Arabidopsis thaliana: one gene and its partners. The protein of the gene in region 3 interacts with the protein of the main gene of each other region in a pairwise test. Each region holds a gene or a part of one and is shown on either strand. Other genes may lie near its edges.

Region 1 (6,601 bases), on a different chromosome or scaffold from region 3:
AGAGATTTCGATTTGTGTTGCAGAGTCGCGTGCGATCATGAGGTATATAGCAGAGAAGTATAGATCACAAGGACCTGATCTTTTGGGGAAGACTATTGAAGAGAGAGGACAAGTAGAGCAATGGTTAGACGTTGAGGCTACAAGTTACCATCCACCACTATTGGCTTTAACGCTCAACATTGTCTTTGCACCACTTATGGGTTTCCCTGCTGATGAGAAAGTTATTAAGGAGAGTGAAGAGAAGCTTGCAGAAGTGCTTGATGTCTATGAAGCTCAGCTTTCTAAGAACGAATACTTGGCTGGTGATTTTGTGAGTCTAGCTGATTTGGCTCACCTTCCTTTCACCGAGTATCTTGTTGGTCCTATTGGGAAGGCTCATTTGATCAAAGATAGGAAGCATGTTAGCGCTTGGTGGGATAAGATTAGTAGCCGTGCTGCGTGGAAGGAGGTTTCCGCTAAGTACTCACTACCTGTTTAAACAAGGAGATGTTGACTTGGGGGGTTTGTGTGAGCTTTGTGTTCTTTGAGGGAGTTCGTTTTCGGGTCGATTGTCTTGTTGTTTCAATAAGAAACGGAACTCTGTCTCATTTGTTGTCTCTGGTTTCTTGTATTCTGTAACTTTTCAAGCTTTTCAATAAGAGTTTAAAATCAGAGTGACTCAACCCATGTATATTCCTCTATTCAGTGTAGGTCTTTGATAAAACTGGTACTAACATCACAACCATCGTGGTTTGTTGAAGGATTGCATTTATATGAAAACTGGTTTATATGAATCCAAAAACATAAGTCAAAGTTTAACACATATCTCTCTGTTCTTCATGTTGTAATAAAAGGGAAAAAGAATCATTCCCTAGTCAGACAAATTCAAGAGCGGCAGATACATAACAACTCTTGAATGTACAAGAAAACTAAAAAGACAAATTCTTTTTGTTGTTAGAAGAATCAACTCTCCAAACATTACCAGACCATCAAAGAGTATATTAAAATGTACGAAGATCTACCAATCTTTATTCAAGGCTGGTGATGAAATGATTCGGAAGGCGGATCATTGCGTGGAACGTTAGGTTCAGGAGACACTACCGGGATATCCAAGCTGTTTCTTCTGTCCCGTTCAGTCTCTGCAGATATTTCTCTTACATCAGAAACTCTTGCCTCTGTTGCCTGAATATCATTCCATTCGTTTTCTCCCACCGGAGGCTGAGCGTTTACTACCTGCTCTTCACTCATATGGACTACATTCTCTCCCGGTATAGAGGCTGTTCTTGAAATGCTCAGACATGCTTTATCCACATTCTTTTCTGTTTCCTTTGTCATTGGAAGAGAAGCTTCGCCGTTAGTAGACTCAGTCTTCTCCTCACACACTTGCTTTGTCTCTAGTTGCTGCCTGTTTATTCAAAAATAAAGAGATTTATGACCCTTCAAAAGTCATGAGTTTCCCTGGGAGATAGATTCAGATAGGCTCACCTTTGAAGCTGAGTTTGTAACATATTCACATATGCTAAAAGCTCTTGCTTCTCTGTCCAAGCAGTTGCTTCTCTCTGAGAAGCCTCTTTTGATTTTGCTTCACCGCTTGCTTCTGCAACCCTCACTTTCTCTTCGGCCCTCACAACAGCTCCTTCAAGTATGACAACACGCTCTCTGGCTTTCCCAAGCTCAGACCGCCACATATGTGCCTCTTGGAGAGCAGCGTCTCTTTCCTTAACCAATTGATCTTTTTCCTTACTCAAAGTAAAGGTCTTCTCTTCCAATTCCTTGAGCTACATAGGAGATAAAGATCAAATAAACAACAAAACATACACAAGGATGCAAAAGTATCTATATATGACATGGCCTCATTACCTTTAATTTTGTGGCTTCTTGCTGTCTCTGTGAGTCTGTAGTCAAGCGCTCAAATTCCACACAAACGATTTTCCTTTGTTCATCCATTGTATGAGCAGCAGATGCTGCAGCTACAGCTGCTTCAGCAGTCTCAGATAGCTTATCTGCTATTTCCTTTATCATTGAGTCACGAGAACGAAGTTCCCTGGCTAAATTATGTAATTCTTCATCTTTGACACGCAGAGTTTCCTGTAAGATGTAAGTGGCTCAATAAGGTTAACCTGGACATTAGAATGAAGATGGACGAATAAGATTTATGCTAATTCTGTTAATTTTCATCCTTGACAAGCAGAGTTTCCTGTAAGGTGTCCCTATATGCTTTCATCGTTCATCTTGACATTTCAGAATCTCAACAGCCAAAGGATGTCAATATGCTATTCACAAAAGTTTCCCAAATTCGAAGAGAAAGAGAGATGCAAAGATACCACACCTTCATTATTGTCAAATCATCTAGTGGTCCATCAATCGGTTTATTTGGCGTTATTTTCAATGCATTCCTCAAAGAGATCTGCATTGCTGCTTGAATTTCTCTGGAACATTCCAATGCTGTTGAATTGGCAGCGGCAACAACGGTTGCAACGGTACCAAGTGTTGCAGAACCACTTCCACTTAGAGATTCGACAGCCTCCTTATGGGCCTTTAGAACTAGCTGTGTCGCACTGGAACGAACAAAGAAAGATAAGGTTTATCAGATTGGCTTTTGAGGGGCATTTAGAAGGTATTACATTTTCAGTAAGAAACGTAAAAAGAGAGAGAAAGATGATTCTTTCAACATGGTCGACGACGAAACCATTAAATCAACACAACTATGAATTATTTAAGATAGATGAAATAAGCGGGGTGGCTTCTCTAGAGAATGGTAAGTAAATAAAAAGGACAGAAAGAGAAGCAAACAAAAAGATGAAGATCCAGATGACTTACTGTAAGGTTGTGACCCAAGCTTTAGCTGCACCAGGAGTCTCTGCACACAAAAAGTAATCTTTCTTCTGTGGGGTACCAATATCTTATATCAAGTTGAAGAAAATTCAACTCTAGATTCCAATCAACTATCTCCTTATAGACAAAAGAAACAATTATAAATATGCCAACATTTTACTAAAACCAAGGATACAAATACAGCAACCATTATATTTTGGAAGCCCCCTGAAACACAAAAGAAACAAAGTCAATGATACAAACAGACACCAAATAATGATGATTATACAGAGCAACAAAAAAAAGAATGTAGCATCCATACTGGAAGTTGACAGGAGAGATGGAGATTGTGCTATTTTCGTCAAACAAAATTGTTCCCTTGATAGTTGGCTCATTTCGCCTCGTCCTGAGTCATGGAAATACATCAGAAATGAATAAAACCATGATGAAGTGGTCTACACACAAATGCAGCTACATAAGCAAATTGATATAACTCACTTATACTCCATTTTCCCTGTTGTTGGATCAAGTATCACCCATCGTTCGTTCCATTTTCTCAGCTATTCATACATAAACACAAACAAAAGATATTATCATTGTGAACCTTTGAATAAGCCAAGACATTTCAGGCCAAAAGACTTGTTTAAGCTATAGAAATCTAATAGTGAGCTATCAGAGAGTCTTCTTAGTTTGAGCTAACTAAGAAATCCCAATCAATAAAGCAAAAACTGGTTTTGATCATTTTCACTTAAAAAAATTGGACTTACAGTTTCAGATCGCTTGAAAAGAGGTCCTTGTAGCAAGTTCCGACCAGAGCCAGATGCCAATTGTCGCTTGATCTTATCCAAGCTGTTCTCAGTAGCATCAACAATTCTCTGCGCATTTTCAGAAATTGACAAAATGGGTCAATTTAAGAGTGTGAATGAGAAAAGCAGCCAAAAGAAAGAGACTAAATTGTAGCACACAGAGATCAAGAGAGAAAAAGACCGGAGAAGCGCCGTTGGAAGCCATGTTAATTGGGATCGACGAGATCGGAAAGCTCTTGATCGATTAGAAGTGAATTGTTGCTGATCGATGGATCGAGAGAAGAAGGGTTTTAAGAGGTTTTCTTTGGTATAGCTATGAGTATAAGCTGAAGAAGACGAGGTTACAGAAGAAGAAGAAGAAGAAGAAGGAATTGGAGAAAAATGCTGTTAGGTTTGGTTTCGCGGAATTGCAGTTGAATCTGTCTTCACTCTTTCAACGCGATCAAATCAACTTAACCGGTCGGTACGATACTGGATCAGCTTACTCGTCAAATGAACCGGTTCTTGAGTTTCTCACTTTTTGTTTGTTCACTTCATTTTTATGGTTTTTGATCTGACGGTGGAGGTGTCATCACATGATTCTTTTGTTTTGTTTTTGGTTATGAGGATGATTAAGTAGATCTGTAGAAGGTAGGCTTTGTTAAGGGAGAAGCTTTACATAAACGATGGGCTAAGGAACATCAATGGGCCGGGCTGTAACAAGCCAATCGTTTAGGAGAGAGCAGAGTTCTTACTTTGCCCAACTAATCTCAAATGTGTGCAAGATTGTGAAATATTGCGTACTAGCTTCGACGCTTGGTAGTGGTGACTTAGACACTTAGTTCACAGGGACTTCAAACATAGATGCGTTAGACACAGCTTTACACTTTCTCTTAATCTTCAAGATTTTCAATGTACTACAACTTCCCTAATGGTCGTAATGAAACATGATATAAGTACATAACATAATATTCAATAATATATGAGATTTGAGTAATCATATGTGATATGATGATACTCTTTCCTTAATAGCTAGGCGCTGATAACTACATAGGAGGAGGAAACACAACAACTTGTTGGGGATACAGAAATGGATTGAAAAGCATCAAAGCAAAAGAGTAGTAGACATGTAAGCCAAGACAATATTCAATTTTGGGGTTAACTGAAGTGGGAAAGCTGCAAAACGTGAAGTGGTCCTCTTGCTTTATTCTACGTATGTAGATTCCTTTTGTATGAATTTTCTCATTTGTTTTTCACTTCTATGGCATTCTCATCAACCCAACCATGCATATATTTCCTAAATGAAACGTCTAAGAAGCTATCAAAATCCATATTTTTTTGGCTCCTTTATATTCAATCTCCAAAATAAGAAGAAACTTCTACTATATAATATACTACAGAATTTGGACACCTTTTGACATTTATAAGTTTGACCATTTATCTAAAATTTGGTATGTTCTTATGATTAGTGTTTGAAAATAAGAAAATATATATCCATGTGATGTGGTCATTCATGTATACCTTCCATAGTGAAATCATGATGTTTGTTGACAGTAACATATTGTTAGTGGTCTATGAGCTAGTGCAACCTGCCATGACTCACTTTCCCTTGCAAAATCTGACATTCTTCCACAAAACATAAAAGTCCATTAAAATTCTACTTTTGGATGAATCTGACCTTAAGGAATTTTCAGTTTCAGTTTCTTCTTTTTTTTTTCATAGAAAACCAAAAGTGCTGTAGAGTCGCAGAGATAGTGACATCCACTTGAATATTCTTCTGTTTTTTCTTACATTCATTAATTAAATTCAATACTCAAATTATATATATATAGTCCTTTTTAGATATAAAACATCATTATTAACATCTAATTAAGATTGACAAAAATGAAGTTCGTTATATCAAATCGATTGCCCATTCCTCCACTTGCTTTTCTTCATTTAAATTCAGAGATACTAGTAAAATAAACCATCAACCTCCATGCAAAACCATATTATATAACAAAGTTGCGAGCTTAACTTTTTTTTTTTTTCTTTTTATCACATTTCTTTACACTCTAAAAGCAAATTCTAAAACTTTTCTTTTCTTTTCTCTTCTTCTATCTATAGCTAAGAAACTAGTGGATCAAGTATTCAAGTTCCATATATACCGTCATCCAATTCTTTACAAAGAGCTAGATACACACAAACTTTAACAGTTATACTTATGAAATGAACTCATGAATTGATTATCATCAATTCTAAACTTTGTATTTATTGTTTCAACTTCAAACCACATGAAGTCATGGAGATTCATCATCAACTCTTAGTCTCTCTCCTCTTCCTCCTCCTTCCCCTATGCTCCTCCCAAGAAAACACCAGAAGCTTGGCCATTGATGTCAATGGTCCAGTCGAAACTTCTCCTATCTCCGAGGTTCGTATGCTCTTCTTTCTCTCTCGCTTATCCTAATTAAAATCTAATAATCTCAAACTCTTCATAATCTCATTGATATAGCTGATAAATCTTTACAATGAAGCTCCAGGCATTTCCTTTGTTTCTGATCTTATAACCTATTGAGTTTATTTATCATCGCATGATTATAATGTATGTAAGTCATGTACATATTATTATTCCATGATGCTTAAAGGTTATAGTTTTTTTTTCCTACTCTCTGTATAAAATGCCTGCGTGTTAATAACTTTAATCAAAAACTCTGAATATATATTGGTATGAAGCTCTTATTTTTATTTTTCTTGAACAGAAACTAAATCCAAAGCTTGTGTACGAAATCAAAGTGCATGGCTTTATGCTTTGGGCAGCGATGGGTGTTTTGATGCCAATTGGTATAATCTCCATCAGATTAATGTCTATCAAAGACCAACCTATAATCACTCTTCGACGACTCTTCTTTCTTCATGTCACTTCTCAGGCATGTTTCATTTTTCTTGGCTCTCTTATTTAAATTATATATATCAAATATATATTACAATTCAACAAACTAAATCATAAGTATGTTGAAAGTATTGTATAAGTTGAAAATGAAATT
Region 2 (5,653 bases), about 16 Mb from region 3:
AAGAGTATATAGCAAATCAACAACAAGAAAAACCTTCATTGAGTTGTTTTCTGACTAGGGTTTTAAGAGTTTGCTCATTAATGAGCTCAGGAGACGACAAGGTCTCATTAAGTCTCTCTCTGTACTCAGAAACATCTCGTTTCTTCTCCATACTCAATTGAATCAGCAGACACCTTTAGAAAACAAATTAATCCTCAAATCAAAGACCAAAGAGAATCAAAGATTGCCCTGAATTTGTGGAGTCAAGATGAATCATGGGGAAGAAGTGAGAAGAGAACACCTTAAAACGTAAGGCAATTTATAAGAAAGGAAGCTTTTGGTTATAGTTTTGCCAGACAAAACCCAGCTGCTGATGCGTAACCTACGAGACGGGCAAGGAACGTGGAGATGTTTTTCCCGATTAGAAGATACTTTCCCTCATTTTCTCGGGAATATACATATCTGGAGAATGTGAAGAAAAAGTCTCATTACCAATAATAATAAGAATTGGATTTGACAAAGTTTGAGAGTCTGTGTCAGACTTTATTTTAGAGGGACCAGGTCGGTTAACTGTCGTTGTCATGAGATCTTTCCTGTCTGTCTTTTTATCATTCAAACAAAAAAAAATGAATTTATAAAACTTAAACACAAACAAATAAGATCACTTTTGATTTATTTTATTTTTTAAATAAGGATGTGCAGGAATGAGATTTTCTTCTAAAATTGTGGGAGTAAATGAATGAATCTAGGTATGATTGATTTCATCAAAATCAGAAAACTGATTGTTTCTAGAAAAACATGCATTTGGGGTATTTTGAAACCACATGAGTATATGATGAGTTATTATAAACTAGAATTGCGTTGTAAACGAAATAGAACAAATCTTCTTTTGGAAATCCGTATACTTTAGCGTAAGAAAATGGAAGAATTTGATTTGGACTCGTATCTTTGAAGTATATATAATTCAGCATTTACATTATTGAGATTTATCTCTCATATGTTGTTTTTGCTTTTCCTCATTCTATGGACTTAGCTGCAAGTTTTAAATATCTATGGTAATGAACATGGTCCAGCCTATACAGCAACGAATATCTATCACTATTTTTAATATATATACACAATCAAAATTCAAAACCATGAGTTGCTTGCATATCCCTGTGTGGTCAAAGTCAAGACTGAACTATATTAAAGAGAAGTATCTTGCAACTAACACCATAGCTTATTCAAGACACAGCGACATGGAATATTACATTTCTTAGTTGTTTTAAACAGCCATTGGTTTTCACAACACTTAGTTAAAAAGGAAGTAAAAAAAGAGTCTCAGATAGTTTTGATTAAAACATTTTTTAAACTACTGACCGCAGCAACCGCCATTGTTCTGTTGGATTGGCTGACCTTTCATTTGGACAGTTCCAGGACCAGATGTCTTGTTTGCATTCGTTTGGCTTCCCATTCTGCAAAGAAAATGAGTTACGATATGATTAGACTCAATTCTCCATGTTACATAAACTAGACTGAATCAGCAAATGTCGATACAAGATATCAACCATATGGAAAATCTATCAACAGAAGTTAAGTACACAAGCTTGAGGAAGCTACAAGGATACAGCAGTTAGTTTGTTGATTTGCTTTCCATTAGTCATCAAGTCTAGAATAGCACACTTCGGATTTGAAACTTTACATGAATAGTTTATTTCATGAAAACAGTGGAGAATCAAGATGCTTTGCAGCAGAAAAAAACACAGAGAATGATTTGATGTATATAATGGTGATCAAGGAATATAGTAATAGAACAAGTTTACTAAACCTAATCTATGTTAAATCTTCGCAGAAAAAATTATGGCGAAAGATTAAAGATAGTGAACATACTTCTTTTTTATCTCGCCAGCAATAGTTAAGAATGCCTGTTCAACGTTAATAGAATCCTTGGCACTGGTCTCAAGAAAGGGAATTCCAAGCTCATCTGCTAAGGCCTGCAGTGATTTTGAGTAGATGAAATGTAAGAAAACCAATTCACAGTTGTATCAGGAGTAACAGCTGCTGCAAAAATAAGCAATTTCTACTCGGTGGATTCAGATCATCTAGCTTTGGGAATTTGGTCAGAGATCATCTACATTCATAGCCGTAAATTCTGGTATAACAATCTCAATGGTTGTAATATCATCACATGGTTAAAGATATGCGAAACCATGAAATGATCAAATGAGGAAAGGGGAAAGTACCATGCAAAGGATGTTATGCATAAGATAGAAGCAAAATCATAAATGGAAAAATTGCTGGGAACTTAACTAGGGATGTGAGCTTACCCTTCCAGTTTCGGTGGAAACAACTTTGCTTTCAACCATATCATTCTTGTTACCGATTAAAAGCTTGCAAACACTCTCATTGGCATATCTATCGATCTCACTCAACCACTGCTTCACATTGTTGAAGCTTTCCATCTCAGTACAGTCATAAACAATCTGTTGCAATTATCATCATTAAGGTTCATCACTTAAAGGGTGGATTACAACATTAAAATGATTCATATTCCAACATTACAATACCAATCTCAGACTAAACCACTTAAAATGAGAAATGGAAATAGGGACATAACACTAGTCTAGGTAAGCCAAAAAAAAGCAAGTAAGAAAGCGAATATAAAGATTGCTCACAATGATTCCATGAGCTCCTCTGTAATAGCTGCTAGTGATGGTCCTGAAACGCTCCTGTCCAGCAGTATCCCACTAAAAGAGAGCAGCAACAGTAAAATTGAGTAAACACAATCATCCAAAACATATTATATAATTGAAAACTCACAATTTGCAGCTTAATCGTCTTCCCATCCTGCTCAATCGTCCTAATTTTCTGCAAAACCAACCACATTATAAGTAAGTTTGGGATAAAACAATCTCGATCATGTATGTAAACAAGGTCAAAGAATGAACTTACGAAGTCAACACCAATGGTGCTTATGTAGCTGTCAATGTAAGCATCATCCTAGAAATAGCAACAAATCCCAAAATCACGAAACAGTACAAAAGAAGAAACCTAACACGAGCTAATTCTCGACGACGGAATCAATTAAGAATCAAAATCAAGTCAAACTCACAGCGAATCGGAGAAGAAGACACGATTTTCCAACAGAGGAGTCACCGATCAACAAAAGCTTGAACAGATAATCGCTACAACAACAAAAAATCGAAATCGGTGTGAGTAAAATCGAAAACGAAAGAATGGCTCTCAAGGAGGAGAGAAACACTTACTACTCGTTGCTCATGATTTAGCTGAAGACTGCGTTTCCGAGATTTGATTTTCCAAGATGAGAACAACTTTCCGGGAAAAAGCTCTTTTTCTCTATAATATAAGAAACAAAAAAAAAGAGAGGTTTGGGTTTAGGGGGCGTGTCAATCAATTTACATGAACATTGAACCCCACGACTTCTACTGGATTTTTTTGTTCCCAGTTTTTTTAATATTTGTTTAATTCCTTGTTGTTTTTCCCGAGACAATAAAGAAGCTTTGACCTTGTCTCACTGATTTCTTTACGTGTGTGTGTCTTCTTATTTGGGCTTTTTGATAAATGGGCCGAGCTCAAAATCTTGTCTATCTAACTTAACCGTCGTTAACGTCCTGGCCCTGTTATTAAAGGTTTGGATTTTATTACTCATGTATATGTCTCAATTTTTATTTTTATTTTTTTAGAGAAGATAATTTTACATAAATTTGATTTATAATCCGTGATCAAGATGTGAGGAATTAAATATAATGAAGTATTTAAAGCGGATTAAAAAGGTATATTGAAAAAGAAAAGAAAAACTTTGATTGAATATGCATGGATTTTCCAATTTTATATGACAGTATATTTTATCAACAAAATCATTCTCTTTTTCATACTCCATTCATATCATTTTTAATTAAGTCATATTAATCCTACCAAAAGTTACCTTCTAATTTTACGTTTCTTCTAATTTCCTTTTCTGGCAAAAAAGAAGATATTTCCTCAATTTATAATATTTTTTTTCCATCAAACTATTTTTTTTTATATAACCAAAAAAAAAAAGTGTAGTAACGCTAACGTGTTTGCAGCTTGCAACTTGGCTAGCAGATTTAAAATAAGATAAGTTCTAAAAATAAACAAAACATATATAGCCAAAAACACAAAATTAAAAACACGAAGATTTGTTTCACACAATACTTGGAATATCCTAATTATAAATAACTAAAAAGATTGAGAAACGAACACAAATCTCCACCTTATACAAGAATCGTAAAAGAGAAAAAAAAAACAGAGAGAGATCTTCAAAAAGATGGCGATCGTTAGCCCTAATTTCTGTGCACCGTACCCTATCGAGTTGGGAATCGTACGGAAGGTGATGACTTTAACCGATGGTAACTTCGCCGTCACGGACGTTAACGGCAATCTCCTTTTCAAAGTCAAGGAACCTTTGTTTAGCATCAGCGACAAAAGGATTTTATTGGACGCATACGATACTCCAATCTTGACTTTGAGAGAAAATGTAAGTATACGTCTATCAACTACAATTCTTTATAACTTGCATGGAGAGGCACAATTTTTTCATGGTGATACAAAAAAAAAATTTCATTATGCAAATCATATATACACAAACATGCTCTTATAACTTGCATGGAGGTACACTTTTTCAATACGTCTATCAACTAATTGTAAATAATATCAAAATCATCATCACTCATTCGAGTATGTTAAATCGTCATAGATCATCCAATAAAATCTGATCCACAACTTTTTTTTCTTATAACATAAAAATTGTAGAAGGTGAGCTTGCATGATAGGTGGCTAGTATATAGAGGGAAGAGTACAGACCAAAGTGATCTATTATACACATTGAAACGATCTTCAATGATTCAAATAATGAAGCCAAAACTAGACATCTTTTTGGCTCATAATAAAGAAATGAAGATTTGCGACTTCCATGTTAAAGGAAGTTGGATCGACCGGTCTTGTGTCGTCTACGCCGGCAAATCTGATGCCATTGTTGCTCAGGTAATTACACTGATCAAATTGTCTGTAAATTGTATAAACCGGACTAGCTAGTTATATGATCGTGTTAATTGAGTCATTGTTGTTGTTTTGTTGTTTTTTTCAGATGCACAAGAAACATACGGCACAAAGCATATTAATTGGGAAGAGTAATTTTTCGGTTACTGTCTATCCGAATGTTGACTTTGCTTTTATAGTTTCTCTCATTGTAATCCTCGATGACATTAACCGAGAAGATTCAGAAGACTAGATTAAGTTATCAACTAATTTCTTTTTGTGCGTTGCAAATCTAAATAATACTCGAAAACATAGTACAGTATATGTTAATTATTACAATATTTTTAGTGATTTATTTCACCAAGGCCTATCAATTTATATCATTATAATAGTGAAACCGTATTTAAGAAAATGTGCGAAAGACAAATCCAAACTTTTTTGTGGAGGTAGACAAACATCTTCAGGTATCAAAAGTCTCAAAACTTAGTTTTACCATCTCTGAAGTTTCAGCCATTGGAGATTCCTTTAATAGAATCTAAATGGGGGTGGATAAAGAAATGATATGCCAAAGTGATGCGTCAAAAAACATACTCGGATCTAAATATGGCAACATGTTGGGTGATGATGAGGAATTGGAACATTACTTGTCCCCATTTCTTTCCAATGAAATGTGTCT
Region 3 (4,425 bases):
TTATCCCGACTTGGAAGTTGAGATTGTGCATAAGTTGCTTCAACTCTACTTCATATCTTATTAATGTGGCTCTGACAGGAAGGAGTCCGAGCTCTTTGGACTGGTCTTGGACCTAACGTAGCAAGAAACGCTATTATCAATGCTGCTGAATTAGCGAGTTACGATCAAGTGAAAGAGGTATGAAACTAATATGTTCTCTGTCTCTCTTTCTAAATAAGAGATCCTGATATTTGAAGCAACCAACATTCCTTTTTTTTTTTGTGTTCAGACGATCTTGAAGATTCCGGGTTTCACTGACAACGTTGTCACACATATTCTATCTGGACTGGGAGCAGGATTCTTTGCTGTCTGCATCGGCTCTCCTGTCGACGTGGTAAAGTATTTACTCATGACATTGAACCTTGAGTTTATTCACCACGTTTCCTGATTGTCTACTTAAATCTTGTTGTGTGGCAGGTTAAGTCAAGAATGATGGGAGATTCTGGTGCTTACAAGGGCACCATTGACTGCTTCGTCAAAACTCTGAAGAGCGACGTAAGCAACTCTGCTTCTGATACCTCCATTGTTCTAGATATAACCCAGAAAATGTTACAAACTCTTTACGGTTTCCTCTACAGGGTCCTATGGCATTTTACAAGGGTTTCATCCCCAACTTTGGACGCCTTGGCTCATGGAACGTAATCATGTTTTTGACCCTCGAACAGGTAACAACTGATAGAATTTTTATTTTATCGCAATCGCATTCGAATCGGTCACGCAAAGTCTTCTTTCTCATTTTCTAATCCGGGTTCTTAATACTCTAATCCAGGCAAAGAAGTATGTCCGGGAACTCGATGCGTCCAAAAGAAACTGAGACACATAGTTTTAAGCAGAGGGAATAAGAGCAACATTGTTTTCTTCTTCATTTTCGGTGATTGAGAGAGGCCAGAACTTGGTCGAATATTGTTTTCGGAATAGAGATTCAGTTTTCGAGTAAAACTGTGAAATAAAATTTCTGTGGATTGCTCATATATTGGCTGTACCATCCAACATTTATCAAAAATCATACATTTTTCTCCTTTCTTTCCACAAAACCGAGAAAAATCAGAAAAAGAAACTCCTGAAGAAGAAAGAGGTGACAGCATCTCAGCTCAGTTTCTTATTTTCCGGATTAGCCCATATCTCGAGTCTAAGGTAAAGCTCTCTAGTTTTGTTGCAGATAAACTCAATAGAGCCAACAATGTAATCCTCATATCTCTCATAGAAAGCTGGAACCGTCATAACCACCAAAACGCCTGCCAAATTAACCAAGAACAACCACAAAATGAATATCCAGCTCAAAAGCATTCCAAGTCTATAGGAGTTTTAGAATATCTACTTACTGGTGTGGCAAAGTGTCTGAAAATCCATGAGACTTCCGATCAATGAGAGAAGAAACAGTGACACTGCTACTTTGGTATACAACTCTGAGTCTCTTGCCATTGCAATGTCATGCGAAACTTGGAGTAGCTTGTTCACATGAATACGTAACCATATCGAAGCTTCTTCCGCCATCGCTTCACTTATTTGAAACTCCGGTAACGGCGGTGATGGCCTGAAGAGCCAAGAAATTGAATCAGAAATGAAGTAATATTAGTTACAAGTGAATATTAATATACCTGTTGAGAATGGAAGCAGATTTGGACCAGAGGAAGAGAATAGAGAGCAAGAGAAGAAGAACACTTGAAATAAGAGTAAAGATAGTGTAAGCAAATGCCTCAAACACCATCCATGAAGCTATTGTCACTGTAACTATACCAACACTCACATTCTTCTTCCTCCACAGCATCACATCTGCAACTGCAGATTCATTTCATAACAAGAAAAAAAAAAGGCTATAGAGGTGAGAGATCACCTAGCTTTTATAAGTTTTGGATTTGGTAAAGAAATGTATTCACTAACCAATGCCTCCTCCCAGAATCTCATGTATTGTCCTGTCTCTGTTGAACAACTTGTCCGAAGAAGAACTCATTTGAGAAGAAAGATCAGAGCAAACTTGGATTCAGATTTCCTCAGATGATCAGATCCCAAAAGTAACCCAGATATGTATATCTTTCTCTGAATGTCAGAAACAGATCATTATGTGAAAGGAAATCCTAAAGGCTCGAATCGAAGGAACCTGATGTATCACAAAGAAAGTAAAAATAAAAAGTGAAGAAGAGACTAAAGTTGGGTCATCACCATCATCATCAAAGCCATCAACTTTGAATATACAAATAATTAATTAATAATTCAAAGGCTATGCTCTGTTTAGGGAAAAAGAAGGTGTTTGTTGTCCTCTCGATGTTTTTATTTCCAGCCTAAAAGTGTTATCCTTCTTGTTTTTTTCAAACTGTAAAAGTTCGCCAGATTGTACTTAGAGATGAATCAAATTTTACACCATCCTTTTATATTTTCCATAGAACACATTTAAATTGGTCATTCATCTACTTTTAGTCAACTGAAGTAATTTATGTACCCTTTTCAGATGTAGTTTCCTATGAATTCGAAAAGGTCGAATCTTTATCCTCAATTTAAGATTGTCAGAAGAATTTAATATGGTAAAAAAATCAAACAAAAACAATTCCACAAACCATTTATTATCCTCTGTTTTCTATCTTTCGATGTAAGCTTTTTTCTTTCTCTGTTCTGTATGTAAAATTGTTGATAACTCTTGATAACAAACCAAAACAAAGAAACAAAAGTGAATATCCCACCACCTCCATCAATAACACTTGTTCTCTATTTTCTCTGCTACTTTTGTTTCTCAGTTTCCTTTTCAGAAGTGCCCACAGCTCCGAGATTGGCCTCAGCAGCAGAAGCATCAAGCAAACTTGCTGCAATTGCTGCCTTCAAGTCATCATCTTCCATCTCTGAAAAAGCCTGCACTTCCTCACGTGACAATGCCTGATTCCGTCTTTGTTGATTAACATTGTCATTACTTCTCTTGTTTCTGGCAGAAGAACCTGAGCTCGTGTTCTTTCTTATTCTCTCTGCGTCTTCAGGAGAAAGCCACTGCCCGAAACTATTGGAAGCTTCAGAAGAAGACGACATGGGACATTCCTGAGGGAAGTTTCCTTTCACTATGAAGATACTCCATCCTGCGCCTTTGAGAGAGTCTAAGAACGCAGAAAGGTAGAACTTCGATAAATGTTGCGGGGCAGCAAGGAGACTATCAAAGTTATACCATTCGCCATTCACTTTCCTTATACAAAACCAATGGTCATGCAAGTGGCAGATAAAGGCGCTTTCAAGCTCAGGGTCTATCTGCGCAGGCTCTGCATCTGGACAATTGAGTGGAATTACTTGTAGATCCCACACTTCCAAAGCTTTTTGCAAGACCTGTCAATCAAACAGAAGCATTCTCAGTTAAACGAATAAGCAAAGACTAGATCAACTTTGCAAGATTAAAATGCTACACCAATCGCATAAACCCTCTGTTTGCAGTGTTTTATCCGCATCCAACTTCAACGTAATCCGTTAAAATAGCTTTAATTTTAGATATCTAAAAATGTGATGTAAAACACCATACTATACCCTTGAATCTCAATACATAAATCTTGCAATCAAACCTGACTTTTGTAGCAACCTAATCAAATATCAAGTTATCAACCAACTCGGTTTAAAGCTATCCAAGAAACAAAAGATGATAATTGAATATACAGAACCTCACTAATAACTAACATATCCAAAACAATTGAGTCCCAAGATAAAAAAAATCATCTCAAGTTCCTCCATTTATCAGCATAGCAATGTTCGCACAATGAAACTAGCCTTCAACAAATGAGTTTTAACCCAAAGTAAAGATCGCAAATTCACACCATTACTGATCTCAATTCTTCTTGAATCTATCTAAAAACGAATCCAACCATTCAAAAGTTTATCACTTCAGCATAAACACAGCAATCAAAAGCACCATAAAATCGAAACCCTAATTTTGCCTAAACTTCCAACAACACAATAACAAAAAGGCTTTACAATATATAAATGTTGAATGCAACTCAAGATTTATCAATTTCATCGCGAATTCGTACCTGGATACTAAAATCGCCGCCGAGGGAAACATTGTGCGACTCTTCAGCTAAGAAATCGCCGGGAGCAAAACCTCCAACGGCAGCACCTTCAAGCATAACCTGACGCTCCTTCCCGTCTAGATCGGCGGCGACGGCAGCCAAATCGAATTCAGAGAAGAAAGGCCCTTGCAACACCGTGTTGACGCAGTGTACGGCGCACAGATTTGACTCTTGAACCTCGTGATACAACATTCCTCCGTTGCTTGTTCGTTCCATCGCCGATTAAGATTTGAATATCAAAATTCACTGATTTTGCGATGAATATATTATTATTGCTCCGATGCAAAAGTCTCAAAGAGATTGTGAAGCGAAGATGAAGATGAAGATGAAGAAAGAAGAAGAAGAAGCAAGTTAA
Region 4 (5,257 bases), on a different chromosome or scaffold from region 3:
TCGGAGAAAAAGAAAGAAGAGAGAAATGCCGGTGAACTGTGAACGGCGGAGAGGAAAAAGGCTGAGACTTTTGCCGGCGACTGTTCTTTTGTAGCTAAGCTTAGCTAACTCCAACTTGAGCTCTCTGTCGTTTTTGGATTTTTCTTTTTATATCTGTCTTCTTTTATTTATCCTTTTCTTAATTATAACATGATTAATTTTTGTTTCAAATTACTGTATACAAATTATTTTCAAAAGATGAAAAGATTAATTTTATTGTTGTGAATTAATATATCAAAAATTTATTTGTTCTACTTGAAATCATATACATTCATCGTAAAAATAAACTTTACAATAAATATTTTATTATCTAGAGTAAAACATTTTTGATTCTTAAGCAATATCAAAACAATTCCATCATATTTAAGCAAAAAATAACTAATTATAGTATATGTTTTAAATGATTTATACTGTAATATTTATTATTGTCATTTTTGTTTGTTACATACGTCTTCGAATTATCACATTAAAAGAGAAAATTATTCTAACGATTATATATTTTCCCAAGACTGCACCCAATGTTAAATCTGATATGGAAAATAATTTTCTTACAACTTTCAGATTTATTTTAAATATAAAAGTTAAGCAAAAACTATAATATATATATATTTGAGATTTCTATATGAGATAAAGTTCTAAAATAAATTAAAGTTTACAAAGGCAGAGAAATGAAGATTCATAATTAGGTCAGGTGCTAAGCACAATCCTCCTCTAAGAAAATTTTGGTCGATACATTTTTAGCTGCAGTATTTTATTTCACCATAAGAATTAGTAACATGTTGGAAACAAAACGTACCTGAGATCAAAAGAAGAGCTAGACAGAGAAATGTTAGACCATTTTTTTCTTCGATCAACAATGTCTCTCTATATATACCACATTTTATACTATTCCCTAATATGTAAAACGATATTGCCATTTGTCATGTGATTATTATTAGGGTGGGATTATCTTTGATTATCTTTTTGTTATAAAGTCAATGCGACAGTAATATGAAAGACACAAGGACGCGGATACAAATTATAATCTATAAGAAAAGAAAAAAAATTATTTTTAAAAGGGCTAAAAGAAAACAAGGTTATTCAAATAATATTGACAAATTACACTTCTCGACAAATTTTTCTGTGTTTTTTGGTTTCTCTATTCGCTCAGATTTTGTGAAACGTCTCTTCTGATTTTTTATTTTTTCCTATCGATCGGCCAAAGGTTTTTGAATAGTCACTTTAAGATTCATTTCCAATCGAGGCCAAAGGTTTATCAAGAGTCGATAGAATCTGCGGCATTGACATTCCCCCGGAAACAACAATCTCTGCAGATGAAGAATGAGTATACAGTGTTCAGTATCTTTCCACAAAATAATTTGAATGCTATATAACAAACGATAAATGTATCTAGTATAGACAATTAGATTCTGAAATCTCACCAATTCCTTCCCGGACAGAGAGGTTTGGCCTGATAACGTCATTACTGTTGACAAGTAGTATATCTCCAATGTAAAGGTGGTTCGTGGGAACGTATACACAGCAAAGTTCCTCCTCGGTTGGGTAGTTCTGCAAGAACGAATAGCATTATTACATTGGGTAAAAAGATTACGAAATTATGGTAAACCATATAACTCGAAATTGTTTGTATCCTCAAGGAGACGTTCTGGAAAGAATAACAAAATCCTTGAGCAAAGTATTTTCACTCACCTGGAGAACAACAGTTGATGTAATGAAGCCAAATGCATATTCACCTACACGGGGATGCCTGATGATTGCAACTTCCTTGAAAGCTTGTGTATTTTGATCTGTGATGAGAAATGGATAAGAACAAGATGAGATAGGAGATCAACTTAATGTTGAGAAGCAAAACAAGATTTTTATAAGCAAGCTAGACCAGGCGATATGGCAGTGCTGATTTGCTTGGAGGCGTTGTAGATGTGACGAACAAATGGCATCCGCTTGATAAACCACTCTCCCAAGTTCAGAACCGATGCCCCCAACCACGAAGACATGAACACCCCAACCAAGAAGATGAATGCAATGGAAGTCAAAAAACCGAAACCTACAAAACAATAATCAAACTCATTGTGGGAAACCGATATCAAGTTGTTAATAGGATAAAGAGGGGCCATTCAAATTCTTACCAAATATGTTGATTCCAAGTAGTGCATATATTGGAGAGAAGAATCCATCGACAAAGTGAATAAACCACCATGTTGTATAGAAAGTAACTGCAATAGGAAGTAGGATAACACTGCAAAAAGCAATGGAGACTTAAAACTAATCTGTGGAAGTTTTCATCAAATGCCAAAATTTCAACTCTTCCTTACCAGCCTGTCATGAACTTCTTTGACGCCCAACCCCTAATGAACAAGCTTAAAGTCTGCAGAAAAGAGCTAAAGCATCAGGCCACAATGCTCTATAAGTTATACATGCTTGAAAACATGAATGAGCATAATACAAAGACTCAAGAATCTGAATGATTCCAACCACAACAACTTGGAATGCAAATTCATACTCTACTCAATCACAACTACCAAACTTATCTAAGCAAGTGTTCTTGTGATATACTGAATCTAGGGCAAAACAAGTTCCAAGATTTTGAACTAAGGGGAGACAGAATCGACCAAATCTATGAATAACTATCATCCAATTCTACTGTTAGTTTCGCATGAATCTTGAAATGAGAAAACGAAGAACACGTTTTTAGATCAGGTGACAAAAACTAGACCTCGTGGCCGGATTGATGCGAAGAAGAAGCAGAGGAAGAAGAAGAAGGCTTCGAAGAAGAACCATCGTCTTTGTCGCCGAAATCAGCGACGGGAATCAGAAGCTCTCGATCTCTTTCTCGATTGGCCATAACAATTGTCGTGTAAAGAGAGATAAAACCCTAAACCTAGAAACTCACCGAGAGTTCGAAGATTGTAAATCACAATCTAGAAGCTAGTTGCGAAACAGAAGAACCACCTCGAAGATCCTGAGATTTGATGATGATGATTGTGATGATGATGAATGACAGATAGAGAAGACGATGAAATTGATTTTTGATTCGATTTCCCCAAATGGCAAAAGAAAAGTTCCTTACCTGTACCGATTGACCGTACCAACTACCAAACCAACGAATTGACTTTTACAAAACTTAAACCGAAATTAAAGATAATTAAACCGAGTTATTGAACTAAACCAGATAATAGCTTAGGTTGAATCAGTTTTAAAAAAATTTGCGATACCTAAGGCCCACTAAGTTTTTCACATCGTAAAAAGGCCTAAAATAATAAGCCCACTTTAATCATCTCCTCCCGTTATCAGATTAAAAGATTTGTTTCTCCGAGAGCAAGAAACCTCAGAGAGACGAAGCACAATGGGTCAAGGACCTTCCGGCGGATTGAATCGGCAAGGAGATCGGAAACCAGATGGTGGAGAGAAGAAGGAGAAGAAGTTCGAACCAGCCGCACCACCTGCTCGTGTAGGGAGGAAGCAACGGAAGCAGAAAGGACCTGAAGCGGCGGCGAGATTGCCGACGGTGACTCCTTCTACTAAATGTAAGCTTCGATTGCTGAAATTGGAGCGAATCAAGGACTATTTGCTTATGGAGGAAGAGTTCGTAGCGAATCAGGAGAGATTGAAACCTCAGGAAGAGAAAGCTGAGGAAGATAGATCTAAAGTTGATGATCTTCGTGGTACACCTATGAGTGTTGGCAATCTTGAAGAGCTTATTGATGAGAATCACGCCATTGTTTCTTCTTCGGTTGGTCCTGAGTACTACGTTGGCATTTTGTCTTTCGTTGATAAGGATCAGCTTGAACCTGGCTGCTCTATTTTGATGCATAACAAGGTATTGAGTTTTACAATGCTCTTCCATGGAAACGTTGAACCAATTCTTCTATGTGATATTTTTTATTATTTTTGTGATAGGTACTCTCTGTTGTTGGGATTCTTCAAGATGAAGTGGATCCAATGGTGTCTGTGATGAAAGTGGAGAAGGCTCCTTTGGAGTCATATGCTGACATTGGAGGTTTAGAAGCTCAGATTCAGGAGATTAAGGAAGCTGTTGAGTTACCTTTAACACATCCCGAGCTGTATGAAGATATTGGAATTAAGCCACCAAAAGGTGTGATCTTGTATGGTGAGCCAGGCACTGGGAAGACATTGCTTGCTAAGGTTCGTCTTTTAGCCTATAGTGTATCCATTATATAATAAGCTTTCTAGTTGTTAATTGCTTAATACAGCACATAATGGTACTTCCCAAGTATGATTGGTTTTATGTCAAGTCATGCATGCAAAATTTTCTGTCTTTTATCAATCTTCACTAGAAAGATGAATTAGTCAGGACAGTGGCTTCTTTGGTTTGATCACCTAGAATTGAGATATTAGATCATAGTACTTGTGTAGATAGAGGAAGATTTTCAGAGTCACGTGGATTGATTTAATGTCTTCGTTTTCTTTTTGTCTATGTCGCAAGCATGGATTGTTGCAGTGTGCCTCTTTTTAATGTGTCTCTTATGCTTGTTAAATTCGGAACTGTTGGAGATGAGCAAGTGTTATTTCTTGTTATTCTTTCAGGCAGTGGCAAATTCTACTTCAGCTACTTTCTTGCGTGTTGTCGGTAGTGAACTGATTCAGAAGTATTTAGGAGATGGTCCCAAGCTTGTGAGGGAACTTTTCAGGGTTGCTGATGACCTTTCTCCTTCTATTGTTTTCATAGACGAGATTGATGCTGTTGGCACCAAGCGGTATGCCTAAATACAACATAAACATGATCCATTGATAAACAATGTTCTTGATTTTGCTCAAGAGATGGTATCTAATATGTGATATAAAATGGTGGTTGAAACAGGTATGACGCAAACTCAGGTGGGGAACGTGAAATCCAAAGAACCATGTTGGAACTACTGAACCAGCTTGATGGGTTTGATTCAAGAGGAGATGTTAAGGTTATTCTCGCGACAAACAGGATCGAGAGTCTTGACCCGGCACTTCTTAGACCAGGCCGGATCGACAGGAAAATCGAATTCCCTCTTCCAGATATCAAAACAAGAAGACGTATCTTCCAGGTTCCACAACTGGTGATCCTTAAGTTTTCTTTCTTTTTTTGTGAATTTTCTAGAAAGATCTGATCGGTTTTTAATTGCATGCCATTATTAGATACACACATCAAAGATGACTTTGGCTGAAGATGTGAACTTAGAAGAGTTTGTAATGACAAAAGACGAGTTCTCAGGAGCTGATATAAAGG

Evidence for each region.
Region 1: the proteins of AT3G54120 (region 3) and SWAP70 interact in a two-hybrid assay, tested with the Arabidopsis thaliana proteins (one large-scale study listed by BioGRID).
Region 2: the proteins of AT3G54120 (region 3) and ATFP8 interact in a two-hybrid assay, tested with the Arabidopsis thaliana proteins (one large-scale study listed by BioGRID).
Region 4: the proteins of AT3G54120 (region 3) and LCV1 interact in a two-hybrid assay, tested with the Arabidopsis thaliana proteins (one large-scale study listed by BioGRID).

The regions. Positions count from the first base shown.
Region 1 is NC_003071.7:13,141,915-13,148,515, forward strand, and holds SWAP70 (Pleckstrin homology (PH) domain-containing protein), read right to left. Parts: upstream 4,147-6,601; 5' UTR 3,805-4,146; coding exon 3,781-3,804; intron 3,669-3,780; coding exon 3,561-3,668; intron 3,354-3,560; coding exon 3,292-3,353; intron 3,200-3,291; coding exon 3,116-3,199; intron 3,022-3,115; coding exon 2,990-3,021; intron 2,882-2,989; coding exon 2,800-2,881; intron 2,538-2,799; coding exon 2,309-2,537; intron 2,068-2,308; coding exon 1,840-2,067; intron 1,758-1,839; coding exon 1,465-1,757; coding exon of another isoform or gene 1,461-1,464; exon of another isoform or gene 1,385-1,460; coding exon 1,012-1,384; 3' UTR 751-1,011; downstream 1-750. Other genes in the region: GSTF10 (glutathione S-transferase PHI 10), read left to right, coding at 24-478; AT2G30890 (Cytochrome b561/ferric reductase transmembrane protein family), read left to right, coding at 5,860-5,988, 6,317-6,484.
Region 2 is NC_003074.8:3,708,160-3,713,812, forward strand, and holds ATFP8 (Ras-related small GTP-binding family protein), read right to left. Parts: upstream 3,459-5,653; 5' UTR 3,239-3,458; coding exon 3,225-3,238; intron 3,144-3,224; coding exon 3,071-3,143; intron 2,959-3,070; coding exon 2,911-2,958; intron 2,827-2,910; coding exon 2,779-2,826; intron 2,706-2,778; coding exon 2,634-2,705; intron 2,442-2,633; coding exon 2,286-2,441; intron 1,953-2,285; coding exon 1,849-1,952; intron 1,434-1,848; coding exon 1,331-1,433; 3' UTR 972-1,330; downstream 1-971. Other genes in the region: AT3G11720 (Polyketide cyclase/dehydrase and lipid transport superfamily protein), read right to left, coding at 34-173, 343-441, 522-562; AT3G11740 (LURP-one-like protein (DUF567)), read left to right, coding at 4,268-4,477, 4,753-4,983, 5,087-5,230. UniProt on the Arabidopsis thaliana protein: Protein transport. Regulator of membrane traffic from the Golgi apparatus towards the endoplasmic reticulum (ER).
Region 3 is NC_003074.8:20,040,144-20,044,568, forward strand, and holds AT3G54120 (Reticulon family protein), read right to left. Parts: upstream 2,198-4,425; 5' UTR 1,991-2,197; coding exon 1,921-1,990; intron 1,819-1,920; coding exon 1,638-1,818; intron 1,574-1,637; coding exon 1,362-1,573; intron 1,275-1,361; coding exon 1,126-1,274; 3' UTR 983-1,125; downstream 1-982. Other genes in the region: PUMP1 (plant uncoupling mitochondrial protein 1), read left to right, coding at 79-177, 269-373, 457-534, 618-704, 809-853; AT3G54130 (Josephin family protein), read right to left, coding at 2,752-3,339, 4,032-4,286.
Region 4 is NC_003071.7:8,689,354-8,694,610, forward strand, and holds LCV1 (uncharacterized protein), read right to left. Parts: upstream 3,138-5,257; 5' UTR 2,882-3,137; coding exon 2,753-2,881; intron 2,405-2,752; coding exon 2,352-2,404; intron 2,276-2,351; coding exon 2,166-2,275; intron 2,084-2,165; coding exon 1,916-2,083; intron 1,827-1,915; coding exon 1,729-1,826; intron 1,588-1,728; coding exon 1,461-1,587; intron 1,347-1,460; coding exon 1,261-1,346; 3' UTR 940-1,260; downstream 1-939. Other genes in the region: RPT2b (AAA-type ATPase family protein), read left to right, coding at 3,383-3,856, 3,937-4,182, 4,585-4,754, 4,859-5,075, 5,167-5,257.